Diceros bicornis minor: one gene and its partners. The protein of the gene in region 3 purifies or fractionates together with the protein of the main gene of each other region. This does not show direct contact. Links are inferred from orthologs where the notes say so. Each region holds a gene or a part of one and is shown on either strand. Other genes may lie near its edges.

Region 1 (3,747 bases), on a different chromosome or scaffold from region 3:
AAAAAGCTTTATAAATGTCTTTAGCCATACACATGGAGTCATTAAGGGTCTGAGGGGGCCAGTTAAGTCTTTCAGTTGTGGTAAAATATATGCTGTGGTGGTATTCAGGACTTTGGGGATTCAGCCATCTTAGGACCATCCCTTAAGAGTGCTAAGGGTCGATCCTGTTTGGTAATTGTTTGACTATAATTTGTTCACTTCACAGTGCCTGGCTCAAGTAAAGTGCTCAGTAAACATTTACCACATGAAAAAAAAAAAAAAAACTCTAATTCAAGAGTGGTCAGGGAGATGAAAATTAAAGTAACAAGGAGAAATCATTTTTCATTTTTCACTCATCTTATTGAAAAAATAATAATACCTACTGCAGGTAGAAAAAGGGGCACTCTCAAACACCAATGATGGAATGTGAATTGCCACAGCCTTTTTGGAAAGCTATATGGCAATATCTATTAAAATTTAAGATATAGACATCCTTTGCAGCAATAACCTCACAACTGGAACTCTCTCCTACAGAAATAAAAGCATCAGCATCTAAGAATTATACCAGGATGTTTACTGAACACTTTATTAGTGGGAAGAAAATGGAAACAAAGCAAATGCCCTTTGTTAAATTAACTTGCATACATTCATACCACATAATATTATGCAGCAGTTAGACACATAACAGGTGACTTGCAGGGATTTCTACTAAATATGTAAGTTAGAGAAGGAAAAAGTAGAACAGGATCCATTTTTTTGCAAGTATCCACATGCATGTATGCTTGTCTAGGATTAAAAGAACACAAAGACAGAAAAATACATAGGTTCAGGAATTCAAAGGAGGGAGAGAAAGTTAGCACCCCTCCCCCCCAACAACACACACAAACATTTAGTGTCAACAATAAAACATTCTGTATACTATAGTCCCTTTTATAGATAATTATGTGTATACAGGAAGGATATACTCAAAAGAAATGCATGAAAAAATAAAAACTTTCAACATATTGTCAAGAAGTCAACTATCATAATCTAAAACTATATGCAAAAAGGAATACTATCTTTTTCCTATATTATTTCTTTTATATTTTAACCCAAATCAACCGATCCATCCATTCATTTAGCCATCAAACATTTGTTTTTATTATTTTTTTATTGGAAAATATTTGGTACTGTTTATCACTTTCCCTCCTGGAAACATTCTCCTGTTTTCCGTAACACCACACTGTCTGGTTTTTCCCCTAGTTCTCTGGCAGCTCATTCTCAATCTCTCGGGGGTCCTCTTCCTTGACTGTTTGTCCTTCAGGGCCCTGTACCTCTGCTTATTCCTGATTCAGCACACCCTCCTGAGGTGATCTAACTTATTACCATCTACAAGGCAATAGACGACTTGTAAATCAGTTCTCTTCTTGAACTACAGACTTGCCTATCTATGGGCCTACTGGAAATCTCCACTTGGACATCCCAATTATAACATAATAAATACAACTGTATCCAAAACTAAACTTCCCTCTCAAATCTCGTTCCTCCTTCTGAGATCCCATGTCAGTGAATGGCATCATCATCCAACCAGCTGTAAAGCTGGCTTCCTATTGCCCTCAGAATTAGACGAAATGTACAAGTTCTGGTCTCCATCTCTCCAGAGACAAAGCATTGGGAAAATTAAGAAAACGGAAACTGCATACATGCAAAGCACTTTTAGAAATTCACTGTTTATCCTCTCCACTGTGTGACTTTCTCCGTTAAGTCTTCCAGGCCACTGCAGGAGTCCAGTTCTCATTCACCCGCCCCGGCGCGGCTCTCCTCCCCTCTGGACCGACACCACACCTCGGCACAGGCTTCCCTTAGCCTGGCAGCCGAGTCAAGGGAGGTCGCTGTAGTTCCGTCTGCAGACACCTTCCCCCCTCACTGCATGCTGCGCAAACCACAAACAACACGTAGAGTGGCCGCCGCAAAGCAATAACCACTCCTCCTCTCTCAACCTCAGACCTCTACTAAATACCTAAGACTCCAGGGTCCGGTGTGAGAGCACACGAGACGCCAGGGGAAGGTGGCGGCGCCGGCTCCACATCCACGCGCTACAGGGACCAGCGCTTCCGCTTCTCCCGGGCCTTACCTGGGATCCGGTACCTGTCTGCAACTCAGCAGCCGCGGCTTTCCAGAGGCCTTGTCCCCGGGCAAGACTAACCCTACTCCCAAGAAAGAGGCGGTAGGAAACTGCTGTGCCGCAGAACACACAGAGAGCCGCCATGTTGGCTGCGGGAGACCTGAGGCCTGCGCAGGCGCCGATGGGCGCCGCGTTCCCGAGGCTGTCGGGAAGACGAGCTTGCCGGAAGTCTGAGGCAGGGGGCGTGTCCCGCGGGGCGAGGGGTCTCGTCGCTGATTGGGTGCGCGAGCCCGCGGGGCGTGTCCGACTCCACCCCTGGCATGCGTTGACTGGCCAGTGGGTCATGCAGGTTGGCTTCCTTGATCTTCTGTATCGCTTGGATTTGGTCGCTCTCCAAGTCGTGTTGGTAGCAGTTTCACGTGGCTCTTTATCTAGCGCTTCCTTCCCATGCCCAGTGCTGCACCTCGAGCCGGTTCTCCCTGAACCGCGGGACCCTCGCAGCCCGCCCGCACCTCCCTCGTCCCTTCTGTCTTCACCACGCTGCGACACAGACGCTGCTCTCCCCAGCACGCAGGAAGGCACTCCAAGCCTCGGTTCCTGTCTGCCTGCCTTCTTAGCATGGGTTTTCCTTCCTCTCTACCTTGCCACATTTTTCAGGGTTCAGGGTCTTCACCCTCCTCCAGCAACTGCCAAACCACTCTAGGTTCCATGGCACTCACTCTGACATTGTTTCTTAACTGGATAATGCACAGGCTAAATCGGAAACCGGTGAGGACGAACCTTCTTACTCAGAACCTTCTTACTCATCTTGACGCGTCACTCCCCATAGTGTTAGTACTAAGCTTTACTTGAAGCCCAATCACAACTAAATAAATAAGTGTTGAATAGAGATGAGTGTTGTGGGAGATCAAGATTTGGCCACCCTGAAATATATCTCTTTACCTTGATTGTTTTCTCTGAGGGACATTTGACCTCCCCCACTAACTGCCTAAAGAATTTGACATGGTGGCTCCTTCCTGGAACAGATCTTCTATCATGATGGCTATAAAGATAATGTAGGATAGAGGTTACAATAGCAAAGGCACCAAGCCTCTTTTATCAAAAACTCTGTCTCTCCCTGACCACATTATCTATAGATGACCCCGAAAAGAATTGTCCTCCTGCCCTCTGAAGTCCCAGGCCACTACCGGCCCCCAACACGCTCCTCGCCTTTAGCTGCAATACTTAAGCAAGCAGCTTACACAGAGGGACGAGTTGCTCATTTCTGAGTTTCTCCCATGTATACATGTTATTAAACTTGGTATTATTTTCTCCTGTCTTGTTAATTATTTGGCTAGCCATAAGAACCTTAAGGAAAAGGGCAGAAGGAGATTCTCCCTCTTCCCCCGACAGTGTGCTCCTGACGGTAACTCCCAGGGTGCTTTCTACAAAATAAAGGTTTGAACTTCGTTGAAAGCATTTCCAAATATTTAGACTTGAAGGATCAGTAAAATTAAATACACAGAGAAAAATCTGAAGTCATAGAAAGTTGTCAAGCAAATAAATGCCATCTCCTATCGCCATCCTTTCTTAAAACACAGAACATTTTAACATTAAAAAGGTAGAAATGACAATCAGAATAAAGAGTGGTCCTTCAAACGGAATGCATTTAGTTGTGTGAAAAG
Region 2 (3,747 bases), on a different chromosome or scaffold from region 3:
CGTTGACGTACTACTCAGAAAAGAAGATTCTTTTCCAAATATTATTGCTCACTGACAATGCACCTGGTCACCCAAGTGTGCTGATGGAGATGTACAACACGATTAATGCTGTTTTCATGCCTGCTAACACAGCATCCATTCTGCAGCCCCTGCATCAAGGAATAATTTCAACTGTCAAGTCTTATTATTTAAGAAATATATTTCATACAGCTACAGCTGTGATAAATAGTGATTCCTGGATGGATCAGGGCAAAGTAAACTGAAAATCTCTGGAAAGGATTCACCATTCTAGATGCCATTAAGAACATTTGTGATTCGTGGGAAGAAGTCAAAATACCAACGTTAACAGGAGTTTGGAAGAAGTTGATTCCAACCCTCATGGATGACTTTGAGGAGTTAAAGGCTTAACTGGAGGAAGTAACTGCAGATATGGTGGAAATAACACGAGGACTAGAATTAGAAGTGGAGCCTGAAGATGTGACTGAATTGCTGCAATCTCATGATAAAACTTGAACAGATGAAGAGTTGCTTCTTATAGATAAGCAAAAAAAGTGGTTTCTTGAGATGGAATCTACTCCTGGTGAAGATGCTGTGAAGACTGTTGAAATGACAGCAAAAGATTTAGAACATTACATCAACAGGTGATAAAGCAGGGTTTGAGAGGATTGACTCCAATTTTGAAAGAAGTTCTGCTGTGGGTAAAATGCTATCAAATAGCATCATATGCTACAGAGAAATCATTCATGAAAGGAAGAGTCAACTGATGTGGCAAACTTCACTGTTGTCTTATTTTAAGCAGTTGCCACAGCCACTCCAACCTCGAGCAACCATCACCCTAATCAGACAGCAGCCACCAACATCAAGGCAAGACCCTCCACCAGCAAAAAGATGATGACTCGCTGAAGGCTCAGATGATGGTTAGCATTTTTTAGCAATAAATTATTTTTTAATTAAGGTATGTACATTGTGTTTCTTTGGATACAATGCTACTGCACACTTAATAAACTACAGTATAGTGTAAATATAACTTTTACATGCACTGGGAAACCAAAAAGTTTGTGTGACTTGCTTTACCGCGGTGGTCTGGAACTGAACGTGCAACATCTCCACTGTAGGCCTTGGCGCATACACTATGTATGTTTAGCCCATACACTAACACTCCAAAACTTTAGGTGTCAGATGAGAAGGCTGGACTAGAATATCCTATCAAACCACACTCCAGCAGAAATCTGATGTTTCATTGTTAAAACTAAATACACGTGATTCTGCCCCTACCCTCAACTGCCCCAATATTCAAGGAGACAAAAATGTTAGTGCAGAGAATTAATTCAACTAAAAATTTTTACTCCATATTTTTTCTTACATCACTGACATCTGCCAATGTTTACCACATCTTAAGCATTAACAGATGATAAACATTATTACACACTAAGGTTTAAAAGGTGGTATAACCCAGGCAAGATCACAAAGTAAATGGTGGGGTCTAGCTTTGAACTTAAACCCTCTGATTCCAAAGTCTGGCCTTTTAACCACTACAGTACACTCTTTTCAAAGAACAATACACTAAAACATTAATAACAGAATTACTCTTAGTTTCTTCTTCTTTTTTTTTTTTTGGTGGGTGTGTATTCCTGACCGATTTTTGTAATTTAAGTATCTTTTTCAATTTTTAACTAGCAAAATTATTCTTCGTTTTTATGACGACAACATCATGGGGACATGAGATCAACCCTCCAAATGGAGATGGGAACCCGTGAGCTAAATCTCTAAGAGCTCTCCAGTTAGTTTTCCAGCACTCTTTCTTACACGAGGGAAATACGCTTATGGCCAGTTCCAAACCTAACAACATGCATCTGTTTATTAGTGAGTGACCTCTTGGGTGTGGGTAAGAGACAGATTTCTTTCCCTGCAGCTTGAAAGGAGGCAAATGACCGAGACAGGGGCAAACCTCAGGCTGTGATTCTTCAGATCTCTCAGTCCCGGCTTTGTCCCTTTCCTTCAGGACTCTTCCGAGAACCCTCTTCAGGGGCAGTTTGAGGGTCAAAAGGAGACACCGGGACTAGCGGGTTCCTGTCACTGTCCCTGAGAGGCGGCCGCACAGACACAGGTATACCTCCCCTCTCGGCGATGCTAAGGACCAAATCCTGAAGTCCTTAGAGACCAGGGGGCCACCAGGCCTCCTTTCCGCCGACGGCTAAAGGAGCTGGGGCGGGGGAAGCAGGGGCTTTCCGGGGGTCGCCCGGCCACACTCGCTGTGCCACCCTCCTTCCCTCTGTGGCTCCCCGAACGCTCCCGGGGCGAAGGGCTTCCCGTCCCTTCGCTGAGACCCGAAGACCCAGGAAGCCCAACCCGGGCCCCCCCGGGCGCGGCCTCGGCGGCCGGGCCGGACACTCACCGTCGTTCTCGTCGCTGTGCCGCCGCCGCGACATGCCGCACGCCGGTGCGCTGCCGAGCCGAGACGCCGGGGGGGAAGCGCGGCAGGAAGCGTTGGGCCGCCGGCCGGCGCGAAGACAGCGGCGCGGAGCGCGGAGTGGCCGGCGCGCAGGCGCACTAGCTCGCGACGGCCCCCGGAAGCGCAAGGAGGAGAGGCGGCTGGGTGGGCTCAGCGGGCTCGGATCGCGGAGGGCCGGCGTCTGAGAGCTCACCAGGCCGCGTGCGTCTGGGACCCGCACGCAACCGCCCCCTCGGGCTTCCTCCGCCTCTCGGCTGCCTCCTTCTCCCGCCTTTCGCTCTAAGTCCTTCCGGTGCCAGAGCCCGCTGGCCACGAGCCACGCCTGGAGGCGGCTGGTCTAGGAGGGACGCTCCAGGCCCCGCCTCAACCTCAGACTCTCCTTGGGGCCTCGCAGTGCCTTTCCCAGCGGCCCTTTCGCCAACGTCCTCGAGGACTTCCGGAGCGAGGTGACGTCGGAGCGTCCCTTCCTTCGTAAAGACCAGGCGGGGGCCGGGGTTCCAGGGCGGTGAGCGGCGACAATTGCTAGGTGGAGACGGTTCAGTGAAGAAAGATATAAGAGAGGATCAGGCCCGGCGGGTACGTGCTCCTCTTCCTCCCACTTCCGGGCCTTTGCCTCCTCGGGAAAGCGGCGCGGAGAGCTTGGGTCCGCCCGGCGCGCGGGGTGGGGCCTGCTCGGGAGGCGGCGCCGCACGAGCCGCCCCTGGGACGGCAAGACCCGCCCCGGCGTGAGCCCGCTGCTCCGCGTCCCCTCCGGGTTGTTGTCTAGGAAGGAACAGGTGGCTGTTTTAGTAATGTTTGCAGTGGTTATTGGGTACCTGCGTACGTGTATGTGAGCACCCCCTGCCCCGACGTCTCCGAGGAGCAGCACACCTGCTTATCTGTCTGAGATGTCGCAGGTCTAACATGGAACTCTTGTGTCGCTCTCCTGGCCTAAGTGTGCCTCCTTCAGTCTTACCCATTTCAGTAAATGGCACCATCTATCCGATTGCTTAGTTCAAAGTGTAGGTAGGAGTCATTCTTGGGTCCTCCTTTTCCTTCGTTTCCTACATAACAGTGTATCTGTAAACCCTGCCGGTTCTGCTTTCAAAACAAATCCAGAGTCAGACCACGTTACTCCTCTGTTTACAACTCTCGGATGACTTTCCATGGCAAACGCCATACCCTGACTTACAGGGTTCTGCTCTGTCATCAGTATACTCCAGCCACTCTTCTTGTTCTTCCAATGAGTCAAGCTTAAAATTCCCACTTTAGGAATTTATACTGTTTCCTTTGCCTAAAGATCTCTGCTCCTAAAT
Region 3 (3,747 bases):
ACCGGGCCGGCCCCGGGGATTTCCTGAGGGTCTCACCAACCACTCATTAAGGAGTAAATGGCACATGACCTGGGTCATCAAAGAGTGCCACTGACCTGCAGCCACTAAATTAGTTTAACTGGCTAGTGACATTTCCCCAGTACCAGCTCACTGAGGGCGGCAAATCCCACTAAAGAGCCAACCTTCTGTTATCTTGCTACTAACTTCTGCTCTGCCACTTCCTCCGCCTCCAGCCGCCCTTTCCCACTCGATGCCAGAACTTTCCTCTGCTGGCTGCATGCCAGCATTTCTCAGGTGCGCTCTGATGCACCTTAAGAGACGGATGTTGTTATCCCAATTTTACTAATGAGAAAACTGAGGCCCAGGAACCTAAGTCATGTGTTCGTGTTTACCCTGCAGGTGCAGAGCTCAAGTTCTCAAGCCCATGGTCTTAAGCACCCCATCGCACCGTGCTAACCCTTTACGAACGCCACAAAGATGATAAATACACTAACACACGTTGACATTTGCTGACTGTTTGGTGCCAGGCCCCATAACATAAATTTTGCAGTTAATTCCCCATCAATGTTATGAAGAAAATTCTATTATCCCCTCACTAAAGATGAAGAAATTTTTTTTTTTGTGAGGAAGATCAGCCCTGAGCTAACATCTGTGCTAATCCTCCTCTTTTTGCTGAGAAAGACCAGCTCTGAGCTAACATCTATTGCCAGTCCTCCCCCGCCCCCCGCCAAAGCCCCAGTAGATAGTTGTACGTCATAGTTGCACGTCCTTCTGGTTGCTGTATGTGGGAAGCGGCCTCAGCATGGCCGGAGAAGCGGTGCCTCGGTGAGCGCCCGGGGTTCCGAACCCGGGCCGCAAGTAGCGGAGCGCGCGCACTTAACCGCTAAGCCACGGGGCCGGCCCAAGATGAAGAAATTGATGCACAAGAGTATACACCACTTGCCCAAGGTCACACAGCTGATAAATGGCGTGTGCCAAAGACTACCTGCCTTCAGAGCCCGAATCCCCCACTGCTAGTCACTGAATTTTCACAAAAACCCTACAAGGGATGTACTATCAACCCCATTTAAGAGAGGAAAACTGAAGATCACGAAGAGCAAGTCACCTGCCTAAACCACACAGCTGGAACACAGCCAGAGACTGGACTCCAAATCCAGGCCCCTGGCCCCTAAAACCCAAACCACCCCAAGTCTGCTCAGCAAACTCACCTCAAACTCCCGGATGTAAGGCGCGATGCCACAGTAAGGTTGATTGTGGTGTTTTTCATGTGGCAGTTTCTCCAGCGGCGGCAGGTACGGGATGGGGTCACGGGGGGCAAAGAGGGCCAGGAGGTTGGGCGGCAGGAACTGGGTCATCTTGCCAAGTCTGAGGGCCAAAGCAAGACAGCCTTGTGTGGGGGTGGGCGGGTGGAGAGGCAGCCCCTACAATCCCTTGACTCCCCGAAAAAGAGGGAAATGGGGCAGGATCTCAGCCAGGGCTCAGAGTGACCCTATGTCACAGGGCCAAGGAGTAAACCCGAAGGAGAAAGCAAGTTCTTCGGGAAGGCTGCGTGAGGGCAGGGCAAGGCCGGTAAGGCAAACAAGGACGGAAAAAGGGTTTCTGAGCAAAGTCTGAGTCCCAAGCAAGGAACTGTGAGGCCGAGAGGTTCCCTGGGGGTTTGTGGGGGAATCAAGGATCCTGACGAGGGAGATCCACAGCAGTGGCGGCTGGGGGTCCCATACCTTGGAGAACAGGTTATGAGGCAGGGGGCACAGGAAGCCTCCAATCAAAAAGACAGGGTCCTAAGCAGCAAACCTCTCAAGTAACGGCTTGTGGCTAATACATCTAGGACCCCAGAGACGAAAGGAATTATGGGTAAGGGTCCAGGATGCCGCGAAAGAGAAGGAAAAAAAAGGCAACACACCGCAAGGGCCTGTGGGTAAGGGACCGCGGGGGAGCCATGGCAAGAGGGCCTGAGTGCCCAGGGGACTGTGGGTAAGGGATGCAGAAAGGTGCTCTGGCGGTGGCGCGGGACGGGGACCCGGCCGCGGGGAAGGGACTGGGGCCCACCGCAGGGGCTTGTGGGTAGTGGCCCCGCACCCGGTAAGGCCAGTCACACTCACCCGCCGCGCGGCGCCCTCCTCGGCCTGGCGACGGTCCGGGGGCTCGCAGCGGCTGCGGCGGCCCCTCAGCAGCACGAACTCCTACTCTGTCTTCTACTCCGGCGGGGTCCACGTCCCTCCGCCTCCGTCACCCACTGAGCGCGCGAACCAGGCCGCTGCTCACGAGCCCGCGCGGCCTCGGCTCGCGACAGGGGCAAGGGGTGGAACCGGTCTCAAATCCCTCCGCCGGCCGCACTGCGCACGCGCCGCGCGAGTCGAGACCAGCCCACACACACGGACCTGGCGCCGCCGCGGGCACTGCGCACGCGCGAGGTCACCACCCCGCCTTCGTGCACCTTAAACTCCTTTGCCGCGGCAGGCTGGAGGCCGCAGTGCGCACGCGCGCTTCTCACCAAGCCTTCCCCTTCGACCTCGCGCTCGCGGCTCCAACCGCCGGTGTCCGCGAGACTCTTCTCGATGCTCCGCCCCTCCCCTTAACACACTTCCCGGATCTTGCGCGCATGCGTGTTTCGTCTATACCGTAATAGACCCTTCCGCCACCTGGCAAAGAGTCCCTACGTGAATAGTGTGGCCGAGTTGATGTCTAACCTATTAAATCGACAACTATTAAGCAAGCGCGCTGTTTGGTCTCTGGGGACATAGCACGTGACTAAAGCAAAGTCTTTTTCTTCTTGGAGCTTGCATTGTACTGAGGGAGACAATAAAGTCATTTAAAAAGATAAATATAATTTCGGATAGTGGTCTGCGCAATAAAGAAAAATAGGGCGGAGTAAGAGGGTGGGCAGTGAGAGCGGGGTAATTTAAAAAGGGCGAAGATGGAAGGTACTTCTGAAGAGGTGACATTTGCACAAAGGCCAGATGGAAGGGAGATCTGGGCAGGGTTAACAGCAAGTGTAAAGGGCCTGGTTTAGGACGGATGGCAGGAACCTCATGTCATTTGCCCTGAGATTAGAGTCAGCAGCCATGCTATTTAGGGCCCTGTAGACCCATCAGGAGTTAAGTATTGTATTTTAAGTTTTTTGGATAGGTTCAATTGCCTGTTTAATAATAATTACAGAAATTATTACAAAATGTAAATGACTAATTTCGTGTTTCAAGAAACATATAAAAGGACATTTTCAAAAATATTTTGACATTTGCTTTATTTGTGTATGCATGTGGGAACTCTCTGCTCCATTTTTGGAGGTTTTTTGTAATTCTAAATTTATTTCAAAATAAAAAATTTAAAGAAAATAAACAAAACTAAACCTGCCTTCGTAATGTGTTTTTTTTTGGTCTACCATTGGAAAGTAAATTGCAGCATTTCACCTCTAAATGCTTCAGCATGTATCTCCTAAGAATAAGGACATTCTGCTACATAACCACAAAATTATTTTCATCTCTAAGAAAGTTTAGCCTCTATTCAGGTTTTCCCAACTGACCAAGAATATTTTGTTTTAATCTGAACCAGGAGCCAATCAAATTTCACCCATTGCCGTTACTTGTCATGTCTCTTTAGTCTCTTTTAATATAGAGTAGACACACATATGCACACACCCACACACTTTTTTTTTCCCGTTGTGTTGTTGATTTTTCCCAGAGTTCAACCCCGTTTCCAGTAGAATGTCCCACATTCTGAGTTTGTCTGATGGTTTCCTCCTGGTGG

Evidence for each region.
Region 1: the proteins of SNRNP70 (region 3) and MRPS9 purify together in Homo sapiens (affinity purification with mass spectrometry; 3 studies listed by BioGRID and IntAct, counting the BioPlex papers as one, with this or other methods). This does not show direct contact. The link is inferred for Diceros bicornis minor from reciprocal best matches to the Homo sapiens genes SNRNP70 and MRPS9.
Region 2: the proteins of SNRNP70 (region 3) and NCBP1 purify together in Homo sapiens (affinity purification with mass spectrometry; 3 studies listed by BioGRID and IntAct, counting the BioPlex papers as one, with this or other methods). This does not show direct contact. The link is inferred for Diceros bicornis minor from reciprocal best matches to the Homo sapiens genes SNRNP70 and NCBP1.

The regions. Positions count from the first base shown.
Region 1 is NC_080779.1:8,698,357-8,702,103, forward strand, and holds the start of MRPS9 (small ribosomal subunit protein uS9m), read right to left. Parts: upstream 2,255-3,747; 5' UTR 2,228-2,254; coding exon 2,093-2,227; intron 1-2,092.
Region 2 is NC_080767.1:7,925,712-7,929,458, reverse strand, and holds the start of NCBP1 (nuclear cap-binding protein subunit 1), read right to left. Parts: upstream 2,525-3,747; 5' UTR 2,430-2,524; coding exon 2,396-2,429; intron 1-2,395. UniProt on the Homo sapiens protein: Component of the cap-binding complex (CBC), which binds cotranscriptionally to the 5'-cap of pre-mRNAs and is involved in various processes such as pre-mRNA splicing, translation regulation, nonsense-mediated mRNA decay, RNA-mediated gene silencing (RNAi) by microRNAs (miRNAs) and mRNA export.
Region 3 is NC_080773.1:24,587,933-24,591,679, reverse strand, and holds the start of SNRNP70 (U1 small nuclear ribonucleoprotein 70 kDa), read right to left. Parts: upstream 2,301-3,747; 5' UTR 2,103-2,300; intron 1,366-2,102; 5' UTR 1,356-1,365; coding exon 1,209-1,355; intron 1-1,208. UniProt on the Homo sapiens protein: Component of the spliceosomal U1 snRNP, which is essential for recognition of the pre-mRNA 5' splice-site and the subsequent assembly of the spliceosome. SNRNP70 binds to the loop I region of U1-snRNA.